Callithrix jacchus: one gene and its partners. The protein of the gene in region 3 interacts with the protein of the main gene of each other region in a biochemical or structural test. Links are inferred from orthologs where the notes say so. Each region holds a gene or a part of one and is shown on either strand. Other genes may lie near its edges. The genes, in order: LIMS1, ERBB3, NCK2 and PDGFRB.

What was found.
Region 1: the proteins of NCK2 (region 3) and LIMS1 form a complex in vitro, tested with the Homo sapiens proteins (4 studies listed by BioGRID and IntAct, with this or other methods). The link is inferred for Callithrix jacchus from reciprocal best matches to the Homo sapiens genes NCK2 and LIMS1.
Region 2: the proteins of NCK2 (region 3) and ERBB3 form a complex in vitro, tested with the Homo sapiens proteins (2 studies listed by BioGRID and IntAct, with this or other methods). The link is inferred for Callithrix jacchus from reciprocal best matches to the Homo sapiens genes NCK2 and ERBB3.
Region 4: the proteins of NCK2 (region 3) and PDGFRB form a complex in vitro, tested with the Homo sapiens proteins (2 studies listed by BioGRID). The link is inferred for Callithrix jacchus from reciprocal best matches to the Homo sapiens genes NCK2 and PDGFRB.

The regions. Positions count from the first base shown.
Region 1 is NC_133515.1:20,416,137-20,423,522, reverse strand, and holds part of LIMS1 (LIM and senescent cell antigen-like-containing domain protein 1), read left to right. Parts: coding exon 1-21; intron 22-2,219; coding exon 2,220-2,370; intron 2,371-2,937; coding exon 2,938-3,030; intron 3,031-4,326; coding exon 4,327-4,375; intron 4,376-6,704; coding exon 6,705-6,780; intron 6,781-6,970; coding exon 6,971-7,118; 3' UTR 7,119-7,162; intron 7,163-7,386. UniProt on the Homo sapiens protein: Within the IPP (ILK-PINCH-PARVIN) complex, binds to F-actin, promoting F-actin bundling, a process required to generate force for actin cytoskeleton reorganization and subsequent dynamic cell adhesion events such as cell spreading and migration.
Region 2 is NC_133510.1:63,567,254-63,570,690, reverse strand, and holds the end of ERBB3 (receptor tyrosine-protein kinase erbB-3), read left to right. Parts: intron 1-685; coding exon 686-986; intron 987-1,157; coding exon 1,158-1,681; 3' UTR 1,682-2,937; downstream 2,938-3,437. UniProt on the Homo sapiens protein: Tyrosine-protein kinase that plays an essential role as cell surface receptor for neuregulins.
Region 3 is NC_133515.1:15,809,271-15,817,155, forward strand, and holds the start of NCK2 (cytoplasmic protein NCK2), read left to right. Parts: upstream 1-3,248; 5' UTR 3,249-3,459; exon of another isoform or gene 3,460-3,515; coding exon of another isoform or gene 3,516-4,376; intron 4,377-7,885. Other genes in the region: uncharacterized protein LOC118147454, read right to left, coding at 3,516-4,376. UniProt on the Homo sapiens protein: Adapter protein which associates with tyrosine-phosphorylated growth factor receptors or their cellular substrates. Maintains low levels of EIF2S1 phosphorylation by promoting its dephosphorylation by PP1.
Region 4 is NC_133503.1:48,864,779-48,872,723, reverse strand, and holds the start of PDGFRB (platelet-derived growth factor receptor beta), read left to right. Parts: upstream 1-3,143; 5' UTR 3,144-3,582; intron 3,583-7,945. Other genes in the region: meiotic nuclear division protein 1 homolog, read left to right, coding at 605-1,123. UniProt on the Homo sapiens protein: Tyrosine-protein kinase that acts as a cell-surface receptor for homodimeric PDGFB and PDGFD and for heterodimers formed by PDGFA and PDGFB, and plays an essential role in the regulation of embryonic development, cell proliferation, survival, differentiation, chemotaxis and migration.

The DNA of each region.
Region 1 (7,386 bases), about 4.6 Mb from region 3:
TTTCAACTGTGCCAACTGCGGGTATTGGGATTGTTTCTTTTTTATTACACAGGCAGTGGGAAGGAAAGATTCCGTTTATCTATATTTCTGTTACTCTAGCAAACCAAATTGTTTTTCTCCAATTTTTAGTCTAGAAAATATTAAAACTATAGAAGGGTCAAGAGAATGATATAATGAAATCTGTGTACCCTTAATTTTATTTCACCATTTAACATGTTATCATGCTTATGTGTGTACAATACACGTTCTCGTTTCACCCTCCCATGTATGTGTGTACGTGTGCATGTATACACATGCCTCTAAAATTTCTCATGACTCAGTATACATCTCCTGAGAATAAGGGCATTTTCCTATGGAACCACGATGCTTTAAAAAAAAATTTTTTTTTTTTAATTTTTTGTTGAGACAGGATCTCACTGTATCGCCCAAGCTATAGTGCAGTGGGCGATCATCACTTGCTGCAACTTCAGCCTCCTGGGCTCAAGCAATCCTTCCACCTCAGCCTCCAGAGTAGCTAGGCAACAGGTACATGCCACCCTTCTCGACTAATTTTTTAAAATTTTTTGTAGAGATGGAGCCTTGCTATGTTGCCCAGGCTGGTCTCAAACTCCTGAGCTCAAGCAGTTCACCCATCTCAGCCTCCCTAAGTGCTGGGATTACAGGCATGAGCCACTGCACCTGGCCAGAACCACAGTACTCTTACCATATAAATTAGCAAAAATTTTATAATATCAACTAGCAGTCCATATTAAAATACCCCCAATATCCCCAGAACTATTTGTTATCACTGTTTTTCCAATAGAAGATCCAAAAATAACCTCAAAAAAAGGTCTTATCTCTGTACATGCATTACTTTTACAGTTGTAATAATTAGGTATTATCTTAAAATACAGTGTTATATTTACTTTGGCTTGGTTTACATCTAAAAGAAATTATTTAATTTTTTGTCTTCAAAAAGTTATGATAAATTGTTGGGCTATGAATTTTCTAAATTCATAGTAAAAATTTAGTGGATAAAGATTCTTTACTGTAGTTAATGTGAACTTACATGCTAAATTATATTAGGGATAGAGAAGAAACAGTAGGCTAAATATTAAGAAAACTGTTTGGTGGTATAAGTTCAGCCATTTCATCTTTTGTGATTGAATTATCAGTTTGTGCTGTATCTTGTTTTCTTGCCTATCCTTCCTCTTGGGAGATTCTCCTCTGTCCACTTTTCCTATAGAATTACTTCAAAGGGGTGAAATTCAAACAAGTCCATTTGACTAATTGGAACCATCTCTGACCAAATGTTTATTGATGCAGGAGAGTGAAAATAATATTTAATTTGAGTATTTGGAGAAGGAAAATTATGGGCATGTGTTTATGAAAATAAACCTAAACCGATTAACCTATAGCTCTTTTCAACAGCTTGTGACAATTTAAATAATTGTTAGTAAATGGAACTAGTCTATCAACTTCTCAGTTTGCTTGGAAAGGTAGTGTCTTAGTCTCTTTTACGTGCCTATGACAGAATACCACAAACTGGGCAATTTGTAACAAACGGAAATTTATTTGGCTCATGGTTCTGGAGGCTAGGAAGTCCGAGATTAAGGGGCTGGCATCTAGTGAGGACCTTCTTGCTGCATCATAACATGGCAGAGGGCATCACACAGTGGGTGGGAGGAGAGGGAAAGGGAGGAAGAGAAGGGAGAAAGCTGAAGTTGTCCTTTTATAAGGAACCCACCCCCTCAGTAACAGCATTAATCCATCCATGAGGGTAGAGTCTTCATGATCTAATCACCCCTTAGAGTCCCTACCTCCTGACACCTGCATTGGGGATCATGCACTTTGGGGGATGCATTCACACTACAGCAGGTAGTATTACTGAATCTACCCTCAGCACTGTGATTATTCCCCATAGCTTTTAAAGGAAGACAAATGGACATAAATGTAATGTGATTATATAAGAAAGAAATGATGAATATGACTGGTGTGGTGGTATATATCTAACCTAGTATTGCATCTTATCCTTTTAAGATACAGATGTTTTGGTAAGAATCTGAAACCTATTCGGACCTATTAATTCAGGTTACTCTGATCACCTCTAAAGGGAGAAAAAGAAATTTGCAGGGATTGTCATAGTAATCTCTTTAAAAACCTTTTAAAAGTTGTCCTGGCCCTATCGGTTGGCTATTTTTCTCTCTTGGTATTAAGCTGGGTGTCTTTCTCACGAATAGGAAGGAGCTGACTGCTGATGCACGGGAACTCAAAGGGGAGCTGTACTGCCTGCCATGCCATGATAAAATGGGGGTCCCCATCTGCGGTGCTTGCCGACGGCCCATTGAAGGGCGCGTAGTGAACGCCATGGGCAAGCAGTGGCATGTGGAGGTAAGTTGAGAGTAACCAATCGTTTCAAACTTCTGTGATTCAGCAGTAATCAATCCTTTCAAATCTCTATGATTTAGGGGTAACCAGTACTTTCAAATCTCCATGATTCAGGTGTCCTGGCAAGATTTAGGAGATTCTAAAGGTTAAACATGGACATTTTAAAGACAACTGACTTGCTGACTGTTCAGAATATAGAATATATACTGCTTTTGTGAATTTCTCAGTAATGATACAGGATGTAGACTTTTGCACCTAAAGCCTTCCTGAAGCAGGAAGTGCCATGGTCTGTATCCAGCAGCAGCTCCTCCTTTATAGGTGCTACTGGGGTACTCATCTATTTGCTCTTTTTGGGCTATTGTAATAGGCTATGTCTTAAAGTAACCTGTCAAAGATAGACACGTGAATTAAAACTGCAAAAGTATTATATTAGGGAGCTACCTATGGCCAAATCAAATGACTATCTCAAACGTTCGTTCATCTTCTCTGAAGATAGGTTAACTTTGTGGTTTATTTTATTAGATATAAAATATGGCAAATCAAAAATGACCTATAGCAATTTTTTTTCAGCATTTTGTTTGTGCCAAGTGTGAGAAACCGTTCCTTGGACATCGCCATTATGAGAGGAAAGGCCTGGCATATTGTGAAACCCACTATAACCAGGTATTGACCTTAGTCACTGGATGCTAGATAGACTTTATGAACTTTGCTTATCAGTAGTTTAGCTACAAGGAAATCTCTTGGAAGATATACATTGTTCAGGAGAGATGTTTTTAACTATTTAGGAAATAATTTCAGACTCAGAAGCTAACTATAAAATAAAAAATAAAAAGAATACCTGTATGCTTTTCATTCAAGTCCACTGTTTACTTTATCATTTTCTATGCTCAGTCTTGCTGTGTAAAACACCTACTTACATAAATATTATACACAAATATGATGGCTGTTTCTAAAGCATTTGCCAATAAATTCATCATACTCCTTTACCCCTAAATACTTCAATATGTATTTCCCAAGAATATGAGACTCTCTAACATAATTGTAGTTATCAGTATTGATATCATACTTTAACCCATTTATTCTAGTTTTGTCACTTGAGTCAATAATGTCCTCACAGCAATTTTTTCTACTCCTAGAAAAAACAGTCTAGGGTTGTGATGTTTTTTTAGCCTTCTTAAATCTGGAACATTTCCAGAGCCTTTTTAAGTTTTTGATGGTATTGACATTTTGGAAGGATGCAGAGGGCCCCTACCCCCTTTTAATAGACTACTTTCCACTTGGGTTCTCTGTGCTTTCCACTGCTGCTTCTCTGTGGTTAGATGAGGTTATACACAGCAGGTTGCAGCCTCACACAGTAGCAGTGCATTCTCTCAGAGCCTTGTCCCTGGAGCCCTTCATAATCACCTCTCTTGCGCTGGTGATCTCCCAGGCACAGTGCTAGCTGATAATATCACTATGAATTACAATTTCCTTCACTCCTTTGTAAGAAGGAAGCAATCTGTGGGCCATCATTTTATGACCATGGAAATGTCTTGTTTCTCATCAACCCACCACACCTTTATGATTCTTGCTTCTGCACCAGCTGCAAATGACAGTTCTCTAGCCCCACACTCTCCACCCATAGTCTGGTCCTCAGCGCTCTGCCTGAGCAAGAACCTACCTCCTCTGCCATCTATAAGTTTATTCATTTATCTGTTTCCTATCCATATATACTCACAGATTTCTATATTTCACATTACTTATTTGGGTGCTCAAATTGTCTTCTGGAAAGATTTTTTTTTAATTGATGAAAGTGAATTGTTTTCACTGTAAAAAGTAAAAATTTGTCAAAGAACTTTTACTAATTTTCTCCAGTAGTGATAAATTCTTGATTTAGATAACCAGCTATTTGTTTTTAAATGTTCCGTATTGTAAAACTTAATTCTAACACATCTTGAACCACCTTTTTTTTATTTTCAGCTATTTGGTGATGTTTGCTTTCACTGCAATCGTGTTATAGAAGGTGATGGTAAGTATCTGTGTGAGTTTTAGATTGGTACCACTTTGACACAGAAACACTTGGGCCATGTGGAAATTCAGGTTGGTGATTGCTGTTGTTTGGAATGTGATCGTTATCAGTTGCTTTTTCTCTTTCTTTGGTGTATTTCCCAAGTAATCTGTAGCAGTAAGATGATAATATCAAAGAGTTGGATTTGTTACTCATTTATGATACTACTTTCAGCCACTGCCACAGTGTTGTATGCCAGCAATCATGGGAACTGTCCCTAGTGGACCATAGACCTGTTTCTGTCCAGTTCCAGGAAGCTCCATAACAACATTTATTAGGAACAGTTTAATCTGCTATGTAGTTAGGAAGAGGCACTTTAACTTGCACATGCTAAAACCTGGCAGTTATCAGCAAGCACATCTAGGACTTACTACCCCTTGTACTGTGGTAATTAGGTTGGACTGATTGACTGGAACAGAAAGGAAGCAGCTGTGTTTGCTAACAGTTGCTAACACAATTCTGCCAGAGACTTCCTGGCAAAGTTTTGAACAATCCTGTTTTCAGCATGATTCATGGCTCCCTGCAGACATCACCTAATTCAGGAAATACTTTTGAAACACTGTTCATGTGCAGTTTGTGAAAAGATTAGTCCAGGAAAACAATCTTCAGTGCCATTGAAAATAAAACTTACCTCCCTCCTCTGTGAAACAGACACCAGGTAAAAGGAGCTACAAGGCAAACTTTCTTGTTATCATCAGCTCTGGAAAAAAGACTCCTACAGACAAATACGTTAATGCCTGGATTTTTCAAAATTATTTACCTAGTTCATATTTCCTTGTTGGGCCAACAGCAGTAGGTACAGAAACACCAAGCTCACCTAACCAATATCATGCATGGACAGTCACCACATGTGCCTGGGCCAAGGGGGCATGGTTGCTGGTGTAAGATATGGCACACATCATTTACACCTTCATAGGATACTTAAGAACAGGGAAAGATTAATGTCAGCCCTCCATATCCAAGGGCTGGATCCAAACATTTGGTGATACAACCAACTATGGATCAAAAATATTTAGAGAAAAATAACAGTATAAAAATAGTACAGTATAATGACTATATATCATTTGCATTGTACTAGGCATTATAATCTAGAAATGATCTAAAGTATGTGAGACAGTGTACATAGATTATGTGCATTTTATATCAGGGACTTGAGCATCTGAGATTTTGGTATCTGCACAGCATCCTAGAAACAGTATCCTGCACATACTGAGGAACAACTGTACACATAAAGGTTGAGGGCCAGGTATGGTGGCTTACGTCGGTAATCCCAGCACTTTGGGAGGCCAAGGCCGGAAAATTGCTTGAGACCAGGAGTTCAAGACCACCCTAGGCAACATAGACTTCCATCTCTACAAAATAAAAATAAAAAATTAGCCAGACATGGTGGCACACACCTGTGGTCCCAGCTGCACAGGAGAATGAGGTGAGAAGATTGCTTAAACCCAGGAGTTCTAACTGTGATCACATCACTGCAATACAGCCTGAACAACAGAGCAAGACCCTGTCTCAAAAACAAAGAAAAAAAAAAGAACCTCTCAAGAAAGAGGTTCTTGGCTGGGCATGGTGGTTCATACCTGTAATCTCAGTATTTTGTGATACTGAAGCAGGCAGATTGCTTGAGCCCAGGAGTTCAACACCGGCCTGGAAAACATGGCAAAACCCTGTCTCTACAAAAAATAAAAAACTAGCCAGGTGTAGGCTGGGCACAGTGGTTCATGCCTATAATCCCCGCACTTTGGGAGGCTGATGCAGGTGGATCATGAGGTCAAGAGATCGAGACTATCCTGACCAACATGGTGAAATCCCATCTCTACTAAAAATACTAAAATTAGCTGGGCATGGTGGTGCATGCCTGTAATCCCAGCTACTCAGGAGGCTAAGGCAGGAAAATTGCTTTATCCCAGAGGGCAGAGGTTGCAGTGAGCCAAGATCATGCTACTGCACTCCAGCCTGGCGACAGAGTGAGACTCCATCTCAAAGAAAAAAAAAATTAACCAGGTGTGGTGGTATGCACCTGTAGTTCTAGCTACTCAGGAGGCTGAGATGGGAGGATCACTTGAGCCCAGGAGGTTGGGTCTACAGTGAGCCAAGATTGCACCACCACACTTCAGCCTGGGCAACAGATCAAGACCCTGTCTCATTAAAAAAAAAAAAAAAGGGTCTCCCCGAGGTGCCACAGACACAGTCATTGCAGTCATAGTTCTGTTTTAGAGTTGAAATTCTAAGCTGCCCTGCTCCCCATACTGATGTATTTCCATGTGACCAGATCTCTTTCCTCTTTGTCTAGTGGTCTCTGCTCTTAATAAGGCCTGGTGCGTGAACTGCTTTGCCTGTTCTACCTGCAACACTAAATTAACACTCAAGTAAGTCTATGGTTTTGTCCAATGTGAATCCTAAGACTGAAAACTTTGGGGTGACACTTAAAAAAATCCTAGAAAAAGAGAATTATTTGATTTCTTATTTCCTCTTTCTGTTCACGCCTTCTGAAAGTAAAGGGTCTTCCTTTAATTTTTCCCTGTTCTTTCTTCTATTCCTTCTTTGTCCTGCTTAAAGGGATAAATTTGTTGAAATTGACCTAAAGCCAGTCTGCAAACACTGTTATGAGAAAATGCCAGAAGAATTTAAGAGGCGACTTGCCAAACGCGAGAGAGAAGCAAAGGATAAGGACAAGCAGAAAAAGAAAAAGCCAGTCTGTTTGTAAACTTTTCTATCCCTCTGTCATCATTTTCACTACTTTCTCCTTTGGTTAGTCCTTTGGAATATGTTTTTGTTCTGTTTCTGCCTTTTGCTTTCTTCCTCCCCCCTACCCCCACAACTTTTGGGCATGTATTTGTAGTCATCAGAGATTGAAATACAAGCATTTGTCCTCTTTAGAGTTGGTCCTTTTGCATAATTACTAAAATTACAAATATTAAATGAATATGCTCCATACTTAATACAGGTTTGTGGTCATATATTTCACTTACTCT
Region 2 (3,437 bases), on a different chromosome or scaffold from region 3:
CCTATAATCCTAGCACTTTGGGAGGCTGAGGCAGACAGATCACAAAGTCAGAAGTTCGAGACCAGCCTGGCCAACATGGTGAAACTTCGTTTTTACTAAAAACACAAAAATTAACTGGGCATGGTGGTGGGTGCCTGTAATCCCAGCTACTCTGGAGGCCGAGGCAGGAGAATTGCTTGAACCTGGGAGGCTGCAGTGCACTGAGTTTGTGCCATTGTACTCCAGCCTGGGCAACAAGAGCAAGACTCCATCCCCCGCCTCCCCAAAAAAAAGGTAGTGAACAACCCAATCTCCTTCTTTTTTTTTTTTTTTTTTTTTTTTGAGATGGAGTTTCACTCTTGTTACCCAGGCTGGAGTGCAATGGCGCGATCTCGGCTCACCGCAACCTCCGCCTCCTGGGTTCAGGCAATTCTGCTTCAGCCTCCTGAGTAGCTGGGATTACAGGCACGTGCCACCATGCCCAGCTAATTTTTTGTGTTTTTAGTAGAGACGGGGTTTCATCATGTTGACCAGGATGGTCTCGATCTCTTGACCTCATGATCCACCCGCCTCGGCCTCCCAAAGTGCTGGGATTACAGGCTTGAGCCACCGCGCCCAGCCTCCAATCTCCTTCTAAACAAATGTCACTTCTTTCTTGATCTGTGTAAATCTCCTTGCATTATTTTTGGTTTATTTTCTTTCTTAGGAGTCTGCAGTTTCTCAGGGCAGTGAATGGTGCCCCCGTCCAGTCTCTCTGCACCCAATGCCACGGGGACGCCTGGTATCAGAGTCATCAGAGGGCCATGTAACAGGCTCTGAGGTTGAGCTCCAGGAGAAAGTGTCAATGTGTAGGAGCCGGAGCAGGAGCCGGAGCCCACGGCCACGTGGAGACAGTGCCTACCATTCCCAGCGCCACAGTCTGCTTACTCCTGTCACCCCTCTCTCCCCACCAGGATTAGAGGAAGAGGATGTCAATGGTTATGTCATGCCAGATACACACCTCAAAGGTGCCTGCTCTTCCTAGGGCTTTCCTCAGTTCTTCCTCGAATTCTTTCCCCAGGCTCCTCTAAATTATTGTCTTCTCTGATGATATGCCTCTCTATCCTATTCATTTTTTCAAACTTTCCCCTACCCCCATGAGGTTCTTCGCATACCTAGCCTTTCTTCTCTACCCTCAGGTACTCCCTCCTCCCGGGAAGGCACCCTTTCTTCAGTGGGTCTCAGTTCTGTCCTGGGTACTGAAGAAGAAGATGAAGATGAGGAGTATGAATACATGAACCGGAGAAGGCACAGCCCACCTCGTCCCCCTAGGCCAAGTTCCCTTGAGGAGTTGGGTTATGAGTACATGGATGTGGGGTCAGACCTCAGTGCCTCTCTGGGCAGCACACAGAGTTGCCCACTCCACCCTGTACCAATCATGCCCACTGCTGGCACAACTCCAGATGAAGATTATGAATATATGAATCGGCAACGAGGTGGAGGTGGTCCTGGGGGTGATTATGCAGCCATGGGGGCCTGCCCAGCATCTGAGCAAGGGTATGAAGAGATGAGAGCTTTTCAGGGGCCTGGACATCAGGCCCCTCACGTCCATTATGCCCGCCTAAAAACTCTACGTAGCTTAGAGGCTACAGACTCTGCCTTTGATAACCCTGATTACTGGCATAGCAGGCTTTTCCCCAAGGCTAATGCGCAGAGAACATAACCCCTGCTCCCTGTGGCACTCAGGGAGCATTTAATGGCAGCTAGTGCCTTTAGAGGGTACTCTCTTCTCCCTGTTCCCTCTCTCTCCCAGATCTCAGCCCCATTTCCCCAGTCCCAGACAATTCCATTCAACCTTTGGAGGCTTTTAAACATTTGACACAAAATTCTTATGGTATATAGCCAGCTGTGCACTTTCTTCTCTTTCCCAACCCCAGGAAAGGAGGTTTTCCTTATTTTGTGTGCTTTCTCAATCCCATTCCTCAGCTTCCTCACAGGTATTTCTGGAGATATGAAGGATTACTCTCCATATCCCTTCCTCTCAGGCTCTGACTACTTGGAACTAGGCTCCTAGATGTGCCTTTGTTTCCCATCAGACTGTCAGGAAGAGGAAAGGGAGGAAACCTAGCAGAGAAAAGTATAATTTTGGTTTATGACTCTTAACCCCCTAGAAAGACAGAAGGTTAAAATCTGTGGAGATAAAGGTTAGGAGTAGATATTGATTACTTTTATAATTCAGCACTTAATTATGAGCCAGGCATCATACTAAACTTTACCTACATTATCTCACTTAGTCCTTACAACAATTCTGTGACATACATATTAACTCATTTTACAAAAAAGGGAAGCCGGGCGTGGTGGCTCAATCCCGGCACTTTGGGAGGCTGAGAATGGGAGGATCACTTGAGCCCAGGATTAGAGATAAGCCTAGGGAACATAGCAAGACACCATCTCTAATGGGGAAGGGGGGGGAAACTGAGCCTAAAAGAGATTAATTAAGCAGTAGGTCCAGAATGCAAAATCCTCCCAATTCCTGTGCATGTGCTCTTAACTGTAAGTGCCAAGGAAAACTGATTTAAGTCACAGCCCTTGTAAGGGGCAACGTTTCTTGTCTGCACTGAATCAAGTCTAACCCCAACAGCCACATCCTCCTCATATAGGAAGACATCTCATCTCAGGAAGTGGTGGTGGGGGTAGTCAGAAGGAAAAATAACTGGACATCTTTGTGTAAACCATAACCCACGTGCTGTGAATGATCTTTACTCCTTATCTGAGGGCAGATTCACAAGGATTCCCCCAAGATTCACTTTTAGGAGCCATTCTCATCCCAGCAGTAAGAAGCTTCCAGGTAGGATAGAAAGAAGACCCAGTTTCACGCCTCTGTTCCTTTGGATGGGGAACTGAGGGAAAATATCTGTTGTATCACTGAAATGTTTTGTTTTTATACATGTCTGAATAAAAATGCCAAAGTTTTTTTCAGCTTCCTGTCTGTCAAATGAAAACATTTCATATGTTAGATAGATCTCCTCAGCAGAGGACAGTCACCTTTCTGTCTTCTGACAATGCTACTCCGTCCCATGCAGCTTTCTCTAGTCCTATTATTACTTGTATTTCTTTAGAACAAGCATAGCTTATAGTCCTTTGGGGTTTTAGTAGGAATCTACAAAGCAAAAACAATTGAGAATAACAAAAACAAATAACCCACGTGCTTGGGGACTTATAAAAAGCACTATATACGTGTCCGGTCTCCTTCAGAGGCCAAATACTGAAACCTCTACGTGTTTCTGAATTCATTCTTAGAAAAGTCACCAAATCTTTTTATTTTGTTTTTTCACAGTAAGCGCTCTCAACAAACATCTGTCTTTCTGAACACTTCCCTTAAGTGCTCCATCCAGCCTGTTATTGGAACAATGTCATGTTACTTCTTTAAGGAGTCCAGCCTCTAGATTGGGAGGCCTTTAAATGGATGATCCCTCCGG
Region 3 (7,885 bases):
ATGCTATTTTAGGCAAAAGTGTACTGTGCGTCCTTCCACTCTCTGTTTTTTATGCTTTCAATACTTTGTGATTGAAGACAGCAAAACAGATGTGGACACATTAATGGAGGAGAATGCAGGAAAACCTATACATTTTCAGATAAAACATAAGCTTCAAAGAAATGTCTCCCCCATACTGAGCCTTGCAGTGGGTCGGATATTGGCCCCAAAAGATACGCTCACCCGGAAGCTGAGGATGTGACCTTATTTGGAAAAAAGATATTTGCAGATGTTGTAAGATAAGAATGTTAAGATGACATCATGCTGGATTAGGGTGAGCCCTAAATTCAATGATAACTTGTCTTTATGAAAAGAGAGAAGGGAGAGGACACAGGGAACCAGGTTGGGTGGTTCTGCGAAGACAGAGAGGAGAGGTGGGAGTGATAGGGTCACAAGCCAAGGAACACCTGCAGCCATCAGAAGCTGGAAGAGGCAGGGAAGGGAGTGTCCTCTACAGCCTTCAGAGAGAGGCTGGTGTCTTCATTTCAGACTCTAGAACTTTGAGAAAATAGCCTCTGTTTTATCACCTAGTTTGCGGTCATTTGTTAAGGGAGTCCCCAGGAAACTAAAGCAGGCCTCTCAGGGCGAAATCCCCCAGCCTCCCTGGGGAAAAATGCTCAGTCTTCTGTCATCAGATGACTTTTGAGGAGACCGTGGTGAGCAATGGAGAGTCATGGAAAGTTCTTGAGCACAACCAGGGAAAAATGGAAGCAATTTGTAGGAAGGTTAGGATGACATTGATGTCCAGTGTAATCTGAGGGATAGAAGAAGTAATGGGAGATCAGTTGGAAGGCAGTAGGTGTGGGGAAATGAACAAGAGTTTTGGAGTCAGGTATGTGCAGTTCTGACCCCAGTTCTTTGATCTACTATTGAAGTGATTTCATCTGTAAAATAGGGATAATACTATAGTGTGTGGATTAGAGATGACATCCGTCAAGAACTCAATCAACGTACATTACGAGTCTTGCTAGGAATGATGTATAAGTTAGGATGCCAGTGATGGAAATGGAAAGGAAGATGTAGTAAAAAAGATGTTTAAGAATCACCAGTACTCTACCATGGGGATAGACTGCAAGGGGTCTTGGTATCATTCAGTCCTCTCCTGGCTTTTCTTGGGGACAACTTGGAGACAGGGAAGGAAAAGCCAAGATGACACTGAGGTTTCTCCCAGGAGCTGAGGTGCCTGAAACTGTGAGTGGAGGAGCTGGTCAGGGAAGGAGAGGAGTTTTCATTCTGAACATGGTGACCCAGAAGAGATGCTGGGCCATGTGTAGGAAGTGAAGATTCGCTGGGGAGCTCTGCAGATTCACTGGGGAGCCCTCTATGGCTACAGGTCTGGGAGTTAATCAATGAAAGTTTAGACAGGGTGCAAACAAAAAATAGTCAACTCTCTCTCTCTTAAATAAAAAGGTGTATATCAGAATAAAAATAAAGGGCCACTATCTGCCTTGGGGATGTAACTATTAGAGGGTGGGAAGACAACAAACTCTCTAGGGGAGGCAGAGACTGGCAGGTTAGAAAGGTAAGAGAGTCAGAACTGGCTGTGTTTGATGAATGAAAAGATGATGGTGTTTCAGGAAATAGCAGAAATGCCACATACTTTAGAAAACTGCATAGATATTGACAAAAAGCCACTGGATTTAGATTAAGAATGACATCGGTAACTTTCTAAAAAGTCAGAGAAGGAAAAGTCATTCAAGAACCATGATTCATTGAAAGTTTACAACGCAAACAAGCTAAAAACTAGGTCAATATTGTTATGCTTATTTTGAGAAAACTAATTTAAAATTGGGCAGGCTAGAATTCTTCTTTCCTTATTGTAAACTAGGAATTATTAACACAAGGCTTTTCCAAAAGGATGAACTGAAGTAGCTTCTTTCACAAGGTCAAAACAAAGGAAAAAAAAAAAAAAACGCTGTCCCAATTCCCTGAGCTTATATCTGATTCCTGCTCAGTGTACTGTGCCTCCTTCCACTTATTGAGCTATTGAGGGCTACCTACTGCCAGGGTACTTCACATAGGAGATAGGTAAATATTATCTCCTGGCCGGGAGCAGTGGCTCGCACCTGTAATTTCAGCATTTTGGGAGGCTGAGGCAGGCAGATCACAAGGTTAAGAGATCGAGACCATCCTGGCCAACATGGTGAAACCCCATCTCTACTAAAAATACAAAAATTCGCTGGGCATGGGATCGGGCACCTGTAGTCCCAGCTACTCCGGAGGCTGAGGCAGAATCACTTAACTGGGCAGGCAGAGGTTACAGTGAGCCGAGATCATGCCACTGCACTCCAGCCTGGCAACGGAGCAAGACTGTCTCAAAAAAACAAAAACAAAAACAAAAAACTCCCCATTTGACAGATTTTAGAAAGGATAAGGCCCACCTGTGTGAAATTACACAGTTCAGGAAGTCAATAGTCACTCACCTGTCTGACTGCAAAGCTACACTGCCTCTAGTTACCTATCTTAGGGTATTTCCTTTCTGGAAGAGGCAGGAGATGAGTGAGTCAAATAATACTGCTTTATAATCTTGGGTAAGTTATTATTGCCTTAATAGTAAGCAGAGATTAGGAGCCTAAGAAAGAATCTTATTAACATGGATGCAGGCTATCCTGCCAGAAAATCAGAATTATTTGAATATTAGAATTTCCTTTGGGAAATCACATGGGGAGGAGCAAAGACATCCGGATGAAAGTGCCTGTGAAAGGGAAGCTTGTGTTTTTCCCCTTGCTCTTGGGTTTTAATCTTCCAAGTTTGTTTACAGGTTAGCCACAACTCGAGGCTGTGTGGGCTGAACGGTCCCACTATTAGCCACCCACCTTCTAGGGGCCCATTCGGGCAGCTCCTCTTCGGGTTTTGCCCCACGGGTGTGCAACCAGGATTCCACTGGCTGGGGCTGGCCTGGATGCCTGCGAGGCAACAGAGGTCGAGTTTCCTCTCCTTCTTTTAGGGAGTGCCTCGGACGGGATGATGGACTAAAAACGTGTCTGGTTGGGAAAGTAAATAGATGCAAGGCAAATAAATAAAAATGCCCACAAGCAATTACAGGGAGGAAGTGACATTTTTATACAAGTCACTTTTCTGATGGACAACAGGCCTGCTTCGCTGACTGCCGTGGGAGTGCTTCCGGGACGGGGGCGGCTGCCCAGCAACTAGAGCTTCGTGATAAGAACATGAAACAAACAAAAAAGAGCACGCAAAGCCCACCCGGCAGTCATCCGAGGCTGGAAGTTACCACTTGGGTTTTCACTCTCCTCCCCACCCACCGCCCGCGCGCAATTTCGGGCGTAGGGACCCTTTCCTGCACCGGACGCCCGGCCCGCGCTGCGCCTGCAGAGCGGAGCGTCCCCTAGCCCTGCTCTATCCCGGAGCGCTTACCGAGACCCAAGACGCGGAGCCTGGTGGCGCCGGGGGGCGCCCCAGGTGGGTCTCGGGTCCCCGCCCCGCGCGCCCGGGCCTGGGCCGGCCCCTGGGCGGCGTCACGGCGCGGCCGGGGAGGAGCACGGGAGGAGGAGGAAGAGCGCGGAGGAGGCGGGCGCTGAGCGCCGGGGGAGGGTCGCCGCCGCCGCTGCCGCCGCCGCCGCCGCCGCCGGGATCGTCAGGCCAGAGCCGCGCGGCCGAGCGGGCGGCCGGCGGAGGGGAGGGCTCGGCGGCTGGGAGGCTCGCGGCGCCCGGGCCGGCGGGGTCCGCCCGGGCCGGCAGCGTCCGCCCGGCGGCGGGAGGAGGGAGCGGCGCAGACAAAGAGCGGCGCTTGGGCGGGCGCAGCGCGGCCGCCGCCCCGGGACCCGCGCCGCTGCCCTCCGGCTCCGCGGGCGGCCCACGGCGAGGTAAGCGCGGCACGGCGGGAGCGGGGCGGGGGCCGCAAACTTGGGGCCGTTGGGCGGAGTTGGGAGCTTAGCGGGGCTCTCGGGCCGGGGCGCGCCCGGGCAGGGGTTGGGAGAGCGGGTCCACTCCGCGCCCCACCGGTGCTCTCGGCCCCGCCGCGGCCTGGGCACCCCCGACCGCGAGCTGCCCCGCTCCTCCTGGCCCGGCACCTTCCTGCCTGCCTTCCCGTCCCCACCCCCCGCCATCGGGGGCCGGCGCAGGGGCGGGGACGCCCGCCAAGGGCGCAGGCGGGGATCAGGGCAAGGGGCCCGGCGGCGGGGCCCGGGGACTCGAGACCCCCGGGTGTGCAGGCAGCTCTTGGCCTGCTGGCCGGCGGCTGGCACGGAGCTTGGGGCTAGCGTAGGACCGTGCAGTGGCCAGGGTCGCCAGGGCGCGCGTGCTAGGGAAGAAGAGCCGGGGATCTCAGGGCCCCGGCGCAGGGACGCGGGAGGCCGAGATCGGCCGGGAGAACTTAACTGTGTTTATTACAACTATTTATGATCGCGCACAAAGCTGCTGTCACATCGCATAAAGGAGGTCCTCGCGTCGGCGAAGGGAGCTTTTGTGCCCTGCTTCAGGCTGTGCGCCCTGCCCCAGATTTACAGGACTCTTACAGCCACCTGAACCAAAGTTTCTCACAATCGCTCGGCCTTTCGGTTTCTTTCAGGGCGATTTAACCACCGAGTGGTTCTGGAAACATTTGATATGTGAGTTTTAAGGCACCCTAACTCCCTTACAAACACAGTTAGCTTGGCATTGTGTGGAGGGGTTTAATTTGCCACACACTTTAACTTGTAGACAGTAAGGATCTCTGTGAAGGTCTGCGCTGGATGCTAGGGGTCATTGGCTGGTGGACCCCAGGCACCTGACTTAAACTAATATTGTAACAGCTTCAGGGACAAAGCCGAGCGTGCATGGAGTCGGCCTTGGCCACTTCAGACAATTCAGGTTGGCAGATTTGGCTTTATTTTACCAACAGGTTTAAGGTTGCTTCTGCCAAGTTTGCGTCTGCATAATGGGATAAGCAGGCCCTAGTGTGGGCAGGAGGGGCTTAAAATATCGCACTGGCCAGCTCCCTCCCTAGACCCAGAAAGGAACTAGCCAGAGAAGCCGGTGGGCGTGGCTTGCTCGGGACCCACAGGTAGAGGAGTCCCTTCCTGGCCCAGGCCCCAGACCCAGTCCCTGCTTCTCAGAAAGGATTTTGTGTAGGAATGAAAGTGATTCAGGTTGTGTTTCATGCTTCTGTTTTGGATGTAGTTATCGAATCTGAAAAGTGACTGAAAATGAAATTAACCTGGGCTGCTTTAACTTAACAGTACAGAACTGTGCTTGTGAACACTCCCTCAATTCACTTTCCAAGCGTTCATAAACGGGTGAATTAGTAACAGGATTCAAGCCAGTGTGAGGTTTCTGTAAAGAGAACGGCAGTCATGGGACACATGGAGAAGAAATGCATTTCATCTGGAGATTGGGCTAGACATGTAGGTTTTTTGATGTTTGAAACAGGGATTTCCTGCGAAGCAAGTGTTAACCCTGCTTGTGAAGAAGTGACCACAAGGGAAAATCCTACCTCAGTATTTTCTCCCCTGGAGGTTGGTTAGATGTAGTTTTGACTGGAGACGGTGGCAGAATCTTAGTGCTCTTTTGGCGGCTACTTGATGCTGAAATTAAGAACTTTGGCCATGGGAATCTGTGGAGGTGCCTGGCCCACTTCCTGTCCTGGAGGCCTTGCATGGATTCTGAGCTTCTTTCCTGCTTCATAAACATTCAACGGGATTGATCATGAAACACTGGATGAAATTGGGTCATAAATTACCATCAGGGAAAGTTGGCTGCTGCATAAACCCCTCTGTCCGCTTGTGAAGAAACTGACCCTATTAACGATGGGACTTGCTGAAGGCCCTTTTCAGGTAGCTGTGCTCAGTTTTCAGGCTTTGTGTTTTGCTTAGGACACACTACATACTTAAATCTTCTTCATCTCTCTCTGTTTGATCCTGCTGTACTTACCCAGGCACTGTCATTTACATTTGGGGTTATTTAGCTTTTCCAAAACACAGCAGATCTTATGTACACAGTACCATATTTGAGAAATGCACTATCATCCATATTAAATACACTGGAAGTCCTCCTTGACTGTGCACAGACTGGATAACCTTTAAAAACACCCTAAGACTCCCTGAATGGCACAGAATGCGCTGGATTCCTTTACTTGATCACTTGCACTCGCTTAATTTGCCCTGGCTAGAGCAGGCTGTGTTGCTCTATGGGACACCCATTTTTCTGACTGCTCAGACTGGCTTGCTGTGTGCACTGGGGGAGACGGGGCTTGTGGAAATTATTTTCTGATATTAAAAATGAAGCTTAATGACTGAAGAGCTCAAAATTGTTTGCTGGAACTGCAGGGGAGGATGATGAGCGATGTTTGGGAAAACAAGTAAGCTAACTTTTTTCACAAATGAATTGGAAACTCCCCACAACTCACTCCAGAGGCTTAGGAAATTAGTTTTCCCATTCTGAGGGATTGCGAGTGGCGCTTCCAAATGCTTTCTCTTTCCTAAAATGGGTGATGGAAATACTTCATGGCACGTTTCAAAGGGCCTAAGCTAAAACATGATTTCATGTGTGGTGTTCCATCTGTGAGTTAAAGCAACTCAGAAGAAGGTCATGACAGCCTTTTAACTGGTTGTAAAAGTATGCAGTGAAAGCAAAACTAGTTTAAATTTAGACTCTTTTTTTCTTTTCCTGCGTTTTCCTTTGAGCATATCCCAAAGTATGTTTATTTCTGAAGGTAAATGAACGTTAGCAAGTAATACCTCTGCCAAGTGATACACAGCTGCACACACGTGTGCTGGCACATACATTCCTACCTCAACAATCTCAGTCCTTGAAACTGTGGAAATGAAAGTGATTTTGATTGAGGTAGCAGTGTCACAGTGATGTCACACAGCATCACTCTCCCTGCCCAGCCTCTGTGTTCCACCTTGGCTCAGCCCCCTCAGTGTCCTGAGTTCTTATTCTTCCCATGGGTCATCTCTTCTTTCTTTTCTTCTCTACATCTTATCAACTCCCAGCTACAGGGATGGCTTCATCTTTGAACCGCCACAGCACATTCTTTGTGTACCTGATTTGTCGTCTATGACCTTCTTTCCTACAGTTTTTAAAAATTTTTTAATATTTTTAAGGTGGGGTCTCACTCTGTCACCCAGGCTGGAGTGCAGTGGCACAATCACAGCTCTCTGCCTCCTTGAAGTTCTCAGTTCAAGCAGTCATCCCACCTGGGCCTCCAAGTAGCTGGGACTACATGTGTGTACCACCATGCCCAGTGAATTTTTAATTTTTATTTTGTAGAGACAGGGTCTCTACAGAAGGCTGGTCTCAAACTCCTGGGCTCAAGTGATCTTCCTGCCTTGACATCCAAAATACTGGGATTATAGGCTTGAGCCACTATGTCCTGCCATATGGGTTTTTTTTTTTTTTTTTGCATTCATCTTTTCTTTAATAGATTCTGAACCCCTTGAGGGTAGACTGGTCTCGCAGCTTATACGCAATGGGTGTGCTACGAATACTTATTGAATATGTACGTGAATACTGAATTCCCAGCCTGTCAGTGTTGGGGCTCTAGCCTCCCACTGAGATGCGAGTGTTAAGAGACCTCTGACATTCTTGTAAATCTGCTCAGAACCTCTGTTGTGGAAGGCTTTGACCTCAGGATGACCAGGCAATGGGAGAATTTGGTCTGTTGCCCTCTTTATTTGGTAAATTTTCTGTCAAGTGAGTCATTTGTAGTGCTGAAGCTACATTTAAGAGCAGAAACAACAACAACAACAAAAACAAAGCCAAATGCATACCCAATTGTGTTACCTGGTGGGCTGGTTGAATGGTTTACTTTTATAGGTTAGTCTGTTCATATCAACCTGAATTCGAAACGCTGGGTGGAGTGTTTGTGATCCTGCCCTGGTTATTTGTGTCCCCTCTTCTTTCCACT
Region 4 (7,945 bases), on a different chromosome or scaffold from region 3:
ATCTCCATTTTCCAGAGGAGGAAACCAAGGCCCAGGAGTTTCAGTGACTTGCCTAAGCTCATGTAGCTTGAAAATGGAGCAGCTGGGATTCGAACCCAACTCCATCTCTAGCTCTCCAACCTCCCCTCTCGATCATGACACTTTTGCCTCCATTGTCCTGCCCTTGGCGAGTGCCCTGGGGTGCTCCCTGTGGCTCTGCACCTCCCGCCCATATCTCAGTTGAGAGGAGGAGGAACAGTCCTGGTGCCCACCAAGGGTTAATGGTGGTAGGGGCTAAGTAATTCCAGATGGGCCTTAGGACGGCTGGGCTGGCCGGAAACTGGAGGCCGCCAGCTTCCCAGGGGAGCCACCGCCAACTGCCCCTCCCCTCTGTGCTGCATGTCTGGCCCCCAGCTATACCCCCGCCCTAGGGCACACCATCCTCCTCTCTCTTGCTAGAGTCCAGCTCTAAGGTAAATTGCAGGCAGAACATCCCAAGAGCCTGTTGCCCAGCAAGTCCATCCCTGCTATACACAGTTAGGGAAACCGAGACTCAGGTAGGACAGGGGACCTATTCAAGGCCTCCCAATAAGTCTGTGGCTAGGTCTTCTGACCCCCAGACTAGCTTCTTTTGGGACTAGGGGTTGGTGTGTCTTCTATGTCAGTAAAAGAAGTCCTTCAAAGCTTAGTTGATGATAGTATGGTTGACTGTGAGAGGATCGGAACTTCTAATTATTATTGGGCTTTTCCAAGTAAAGCTCTTCATGCAAAGAAGCGTAAGTTGGAGACTCTGAAATCTCAGTTGTCTGAGGGAAGCCAAAAGCATGCAAGCCTACAGAAAAGCATTGAAAAAGCTAAAATTGGCCGATATGAAACGGAAGAGCGAACCATGCTAGCAAAAGAACTTTCTTCACTTCGAGACCAAAGGGAACAGCTAAAGGCAGAAGTAGAAAAATACAAAGATTGTGACCCACAAGTCGTGGAAGAAATACGCCAAGCAAATAAAGTAGCCAAAGAAGCTGCTAACAGGTGGACTGATAACATATTTGCAATAAAATCTTGGGCCAAAAGAAAATTTGGGTTTGAAGAAAATAAAATTGATAAAACTTTTGGAATTCCAGAAGACTTTGACTACATAGACTAAAATATTTCATGGCGGTGAAGGATGTAAATTTTAAACTATTATGTAAATAAGTGTACTGAATTGTCATTTGCCTGTAACTATATGTAGACTTTTGTTAATGTTAAATAAAGTGCAAAATGCAAAAAAAAAAAAAAAAAAAAAAATAGGTCCTCTGTGGCTGTCTTGGCCACAGAGGTTCAGCCAAGGCTTCAGAGGTGAATGGCCCAGGCAGATGCTAGGAGGAGAGTTGTACATTTCTGACGGAGTCTTTGGGCACAAGAAATCCCTGTGCTTGTGCCCTGTGGGATCTTTTCACATTCCCTATGACCCTGCTGCCACAAAGACCTGGCCAGGCCCCCTCTCTTGGGTACTCTTATCGTCCCCACCCCGTGGCGGGGAGCCAGTCTGAAAACACTTCTTTTTCCGTGTGGTCCAGGCCAGATTCTCTGCTGGGCAATCCCTATTGGGACTAGACCAAGAAATGATTGCAAGATAGATGATTGTGGTTGGCATGGAATTCCAGCTCAGGCAAATGCCCTGCTCTGTGAACATGGGCCTGGGGGAATCTGAGGAGGAAGGACTTAGCAGTGCAGAGGGGAGAGTGGAAGGAGGGCAGAGGCGCCTCTACCTGTGTCACCTGGGACACCTTTCTTCACCCTCTGGGATTCAGTTCTCCATATGCACAGTAGTGGGAGCAGGGATGGCGAGCCCACAGTATATGCCCTTCTGAAATAATGCCCTTTGCCATCCGCGGGCTAGGAGTCTGTAAATGAAGATGTCCTTGATCTGAGAAGCCCAAGGTGGAAGAAGAGACCCAGCCCGGGGCACTGGAGGAGTCTTGGCAAACCCTGGTGGGAAAGGAGAGCCAGAGAATGGAAATGGAACAAAACAGATACTTGAAATTATCTTGTTGAGTGACTGAAGGAAAGAGCCACAGGGGGAACCTAGGAAGAAAGCAGGGCTGGGGGCTCATCTACACTGGAATCGGGGAGTCTTGGGTGGGGGTCAGATGAATTGTGTCCCTTCTATCATGTGACTCATGAGATCTAGTTCTGCCCCAGCTCTGCCATTGCTGTGTGCGCTTGGAAAGCTTATTTTGCTCCTCTGGGACTCAGTGTCCCCTTCTATAAAATGGGGTAAATAATCCTCTCCTTGCACCCAAGGGGCTTTGAGATTCAAAAAGGAATATGTCTGTCAATATCCGGATATATCCAATCTGTGCTGGGTGACCTTGACCAAATCACATTCTCTCTCTGTGCCAATTCACCCCTGGGCCTTGGTTTTTCCTTCTGAAAAATGACTGATCAGCTTGGAGGATCTTTCCATCTCTTCCATGCCACCTCTTCTCAGCAGTGCTCTCTGATTCTCTCAGGCCTCCATTAGGAGTCCCTCTAAATGCACTCTCAGCTTTCTGTCTGCCCACCGGGTACCTGCTTGCCCACTGAATGTCTCACTCACTAGCCTGGGTGCTTGAGGTCAGGACCATGTCTTACTACTGTGTCCTGGCACTCAGTACAGTATTGGAAGGTAATAAGTGCTCAGTATGCTTGCTCAATGAATGAATGTTGACTGAATCAACCACAGAGATGATCAGAATCTCCTTTATAGATGGGGAAACCGAGGCACTGAGAAATGACTCTCCCCTGGGTGTCATGAAAAGGGGAGGCCACCACCCAAGATGGGCATTGGGCAAGTGGGGCCCAGGCCACTCTTTGATAAAAGTGACTCAGCTACTGGTGGCTGGCGTGGGCTGTGGAATTTCTAAGCATCCCCTCACATCCTGAGAGAACGGGCGACGAGAGGGAGGCAAGCAGAGGGAAAAGAAGAAAAACAAGAAACTTGGGGGAAAAGAAAGAGAGGGGAAAAAAACTGAAATTGAAAACAGACGCACGCGTTCACCCTCCCTGCCCCACTGCCCCCCTTCTCCCCAGCTGGGCCAATCAGAAGCCACCCTGCAGCCTTTCCCCCAAAGTGGCGAGGGGGAGGGGGCGGGCGGGAAAGCCCACGGTGGTGTGAGTTTCTGGGGCTGCCAGCAACCAGCAGTGACCGCCCGCCCTATCTGGGACCCAGGATCGCTCTGTGAGCAACTTGGAGCCAGAGAGGAGATCAACGAGGAGGAGGAGAGAGCCAGCCCCTCAGCCCAGCTGCCCAGCAGCAGCCTGTGCCCGCCCTGCCCAACACAGACAGCCAGACTCAGGGCGGCCCCTCTGGCAGCTCTGCTCCTCCTGGAGGATGCTTGGGGAGTGAGGCGAAGCTGGGCTGCTCCTCACCCCTGCAGCAGCCCTCTCCCTCCGTCCCTTCCTTCTCCTGAGCCTTCAGGAGCCTGCAACGGTCCTGCCTGTCCTTCTACCCAGCTATTACACACTCTGGAACCAGCAGTCTTTCTGATAACGGGGAGACAGCAGTAAGGAGGACTTCCTGGAGGGGGTGACTGTCCAGAGCCTGGAACTGTGCCCACACCAGAAGCCATCGGCAGCAAGGTAAGTGCTGGGAGGGGTGGGAACCCTAGCCCCATGCCCTGTCCCTTTGCCCTAGCCTGTGTCTCTTTGAGTAGGTAAAACAAATGGAATATATTTTGAAGAAAACCGGATGAGAGGAGACTGGGAGACTGTGGGTGATGTCAGGGCTGGAGGAGCCAGTTCTCTCCTTTCCCCTGCTCTGGGGTGAGGGGCCTCCACCTCATCATCCCTGCTGCTCCTGCCTTCATAAAACAATCCCCAGGGGTTTCTGAGTGCTGAGTGGGGGCCTCCAAATCACAGCACAGTCAATGGGGGGGTTGGCAGGAGAGGGGAATTGGGAGAAGATAGGCAGGTACACCGAAAGCAGGGGACGAGGACCGCAGGACCCACTCCGCAGTTCCAGTTCTCCAGTTCGTGGCCCAAGCTGTGTTTCTAAGAGTCAGTCTGGCTTTAGGCCAGTCAGCCGCCAGGCAACCTTTGGAGATTTAAATGGATTTGCAAATTTTCTAGATTCCTAAGATATCCTTCTAAACCCCCAGCAGCTAGAAAAGTTTGAGGGCTAGGAAAGTTTGAGGGCGATGGGGGGCCATGGCAACCCCCTAGTGGTCATGCTGCTGGGGCTGGGGTCTGGGGTCTGGGACCTGGCCATCAGATCTGGGGACTCCTCTGTGAAGTAGGGGTCAGCCACTGGCCATTTCCTTTGGCCCCAGGCAGCTGCTCAGACCTCCTCTTTGTCTCCCTCCTTCTGGACTCTACCCCTTCTCCATGCCATTCTAAAGCATAAATCTGATCACACCACCTCCTGCCCAGGATCCGCCTGTGGCTCCCCAGTGCCTGGAGAAAATCCCAGCTCCAAACAGAGGCTGCCACTGATTGATACTTACTGCACGCCGCGACTGCGCTGAGTGCTTTATGAGGCTGATATCATGTCATGCTCACCAGCAACCCCAGAGGCAGCGACTGTTTTTACCTCCACTTTATACATGAGGAAACTGAGGCTCACGCGGCACATAACTAGCCACACATCTAGAAAGTGGTACAGCCTGGAGAGGTTGGAAACTGCTTGTGCCCCATTACTCCAAACTTGGGCCTTTTGTTCCCTCCAGTCAGATCCCAGCATTCCCAGAAGGAATGTGTACTATCCTGCTTGTGGGCATTTGCCCCCCTCTTTTCTCCCTTCCTGGAATGCCCTTCCTCAACACTTTTCTTTCAGGGGTATTCTGTACTCCACCTCTTCCAGGCAGCCTTCCCAGGTTCTTCCTATCTTCCAAGTGCTAGCCATGCATTTTGTGCTGAAGCCCTGCCACTTGGCCCTCTCCTGTGAGTGATCTGTTTGTGTTTTGTTTGTTCATCGGAGATTGTTCAGGCCCCAGCAGTCAGACCTGAGGCTGCACTTTCTGCTGGGGAAAGGTTTTACCATCCTGTGCTCTGCCCCCAGTGCCCAGCCCTGGGTAGGCAGTGGGGCTGAGACGTCCTGGTGAAAGGGAAGAGGAGCTCACTGAAGACCTGCTCCCAAGTGTGAGACTAGACCAGCCCCCCAGCCTTCGCTTCAGGTGCCCCTGCAGGACATCGTGTGGCTCCTCCAGGTGGCATTTCTCCATTGCAAGCAGGGAGGAGTATCTCTGCTTCCCTCTGTGACCCCCTGAGAGCACAGAGGCCTCTAGTGACAAGTTCTGAAGTCATGCAGTCCACCACCGAGACTGTATGTTCCTGAATGCTGTGAATTCAGGGTCCAAGCAGGAGACCCTGAATTCACAGCATTCAGGACCATACAGTCACAGTGGTCCCTGTCCCTGAACACCTAGCCCATGCAGGCATAGAGCCTGGCACCTCCCACACCTTGGAATCCTCATGGCAAGTTTTTGAAATCAGTGTTATGATCTCCTTGTAGATGAGGAAGCTGAGGTCTGGAGAGGTCAGGTGACTCTGCCAGGGCCACACAGTGGGTTGAGGTGGTGTTTAGGCTGAAGTCATTCTGGCCCTAAAGGGGCCTTGTGCTCCCTGGGAAGCTCCCAGTCAGAGGGAAGAATCTCCATCCTCCTGCAGAGCCTGCTCCTGGCTTCAGCACCTTCCCCAGCAAAAGTGCAGCCTCAGGTCTGACTGATCCAAGGTCCGCCCAGGCCCTGGCTTGGTCCTGAGAGAGGAAGGAAACCATCTGGTTAGCACCCTTCTCCCAGACAGCAGTTATCAGCAGCCCCCCTCCTCTGTGGGAAGAAGAGCTGGGACTTGTAGTTGCCCACAGATGTGGGGCGGGCAGCAGAAAGCACCGTGGACCAAGAGTCAGGAGACCCAGTGCTTGCCCTGGCTCGACTCAAATCCACAGTGTGACCGACCTCACACCCCTTACATCCCATCTCTGAGCTGCTTCCACAGCTGGGAGGCAGTGAGCACTGTGGGTAAACAGCACTAGGCTTGGGGGATCAGATGACTATACATTGACACTGAGTCAGTTTCTGGCTGTGTGACCCTGGGCCAGCGCCTTGCCTCTCTGGGCCTCAATCTCCTTCTCTGTGAGCAGCAAGGCCACATGTGGGCTCCATGAGACAACAGCATTGGCAAGGCGCTGAGCACAGTTCCTGTACTTCACAGCTGGACCTCTGGCCACTGGCTGAGAGAGCCACTGCTCTCCCGGCCTCCTGCATTGGACCACTTGACCATGATATTAGTCTGCAGCCTGCAAAAGGCTCTGCCCATGGAAGGCACAGGGACATCATGCATGTCCTAAAGATCTGTGTCCATCCTCCAGGCACAGGCCACAGTCTGACTCTGAGACCAGCTGCCTCCTATGCTAAAGGAGGGTGGTCTGGGCATGTGCTGAGAACAGGCTGCTGTTGAGTGCACTGAAGAGGGAGAAAGTGATGAAAGGGTCTTCTGAAATGCCTACCCATTTCTTGCAATTGATTCAGAACCCAGTGGGCAGTGTGTTCTTGGAATGGGAATATTTTTTCAGTGCCTTCGTCTTATGACCAGAGTGTTAGGAGGGAAGGGAAGGGGTGTTGGGCCCCTCCCCAGGGTCAGGGCTTATAGCACCTCAGCTAGGAAGCAGTGTGAGCAGGATGATATAATAGGAACCAACCTGTCCTTAGCAGTTTCTGTGTCTACTTCAATTCTGCTTTACATCCGATACCTTGAAGTTATTGCTGTATTCCTCAGCGCCTAGAACATGCTTAACATTCAGGATGTTCTTAATAAATACTTACTAGATAAATTTAAGCATTACAGCAACCTCAAAATTAGATATATAAACTCTCCCCATTTTTTTTTTTTTTTGAGATGGAATCTTGCTCTGTCTCCCAGGCTGGAGTGCAATGGTGTGATCTCGGCTCACTGCAACCTCTGCCTCCCGGGTTCAAGCGATTCTCTTGCCTCAGCCTCCTGAGTAGCTGGGATTACAGGTGACCCCCACCATGCCTGGCTAATTTTTGTATTTTTAGTAGAGACGGGGTTTCACCATGTTGGCCAGGCTGGTCTCAAACTCCTGACCTCAAGTGACCCACCTGCCTCAGCCTCTCAAAGTGCTGGGATTACAGGCATGAGCCACTGTGCCTGGCTAAACTCTCCCTATTTTACAGCTGAGAAAGTACATAGTCAGTTGCCTAAGGTCCCACAGCTCAGAAGTGGCAGAGCCAGGATTTGCTCTTGGGTGTTTCTGACTCCAGAGCCCCTTGATGAGAGGCTGGATGGGGCCTGGGATGCCCCTGGGGATCCAGTGTAAACCCTGAGAATGTGCCTCAGCTGTGGGGGCCCTCAGCATTTCGCAAGTAGTCATCAGACCCTAAAACCCTATGGACTGTCCACAAGTCGATCCCTCTTGGGGCCTCAGTTTTCCCATCAGTCAAACAAGAAGGCTGACCCAGATGACGGCAAAGCTTTCTTCCAGCCCTAAAACAATTTCAGGATTCCAAGCCACACCAGCCCAGATTGGCAGCTGCACAAGCCTTGCTGTGTACTCAGGGATCATGCATATTTAACTTCACAATGAAAGAGTTTTTTTTCTTACCCTGTCTCTACACATTACAGAAAGAGGTCAGGATCGATGACCACTAATGGAAAACTTTAACCTGCAATAACAAGGAGGAACCGCCTAACAATTAGTGTGTCCCCTTAACATGCTCAGTTTCTCGAGGAGCTCAGAGGGTTCCCACAGAGCCCACATGCCCATTTTCCTGGGATGCTGAGCAAGGAGGGCCAGGGAGGTGGACCCACAAGGGGCTGTGTGTGGATGTTGTAACCCTTTAGAGCCCTTCCTGTGCTGAGTTTTTGAACCTCATATGCTCTAATTTCAAGAGGAAGCAAGGCTTTGGCCCAGATGAGTGATGGGATCCAGAGGTGAGGGGAGAAATGGGCAGGGGAACCTACCTTTAGTGGGAGTGGGTGTGAAATT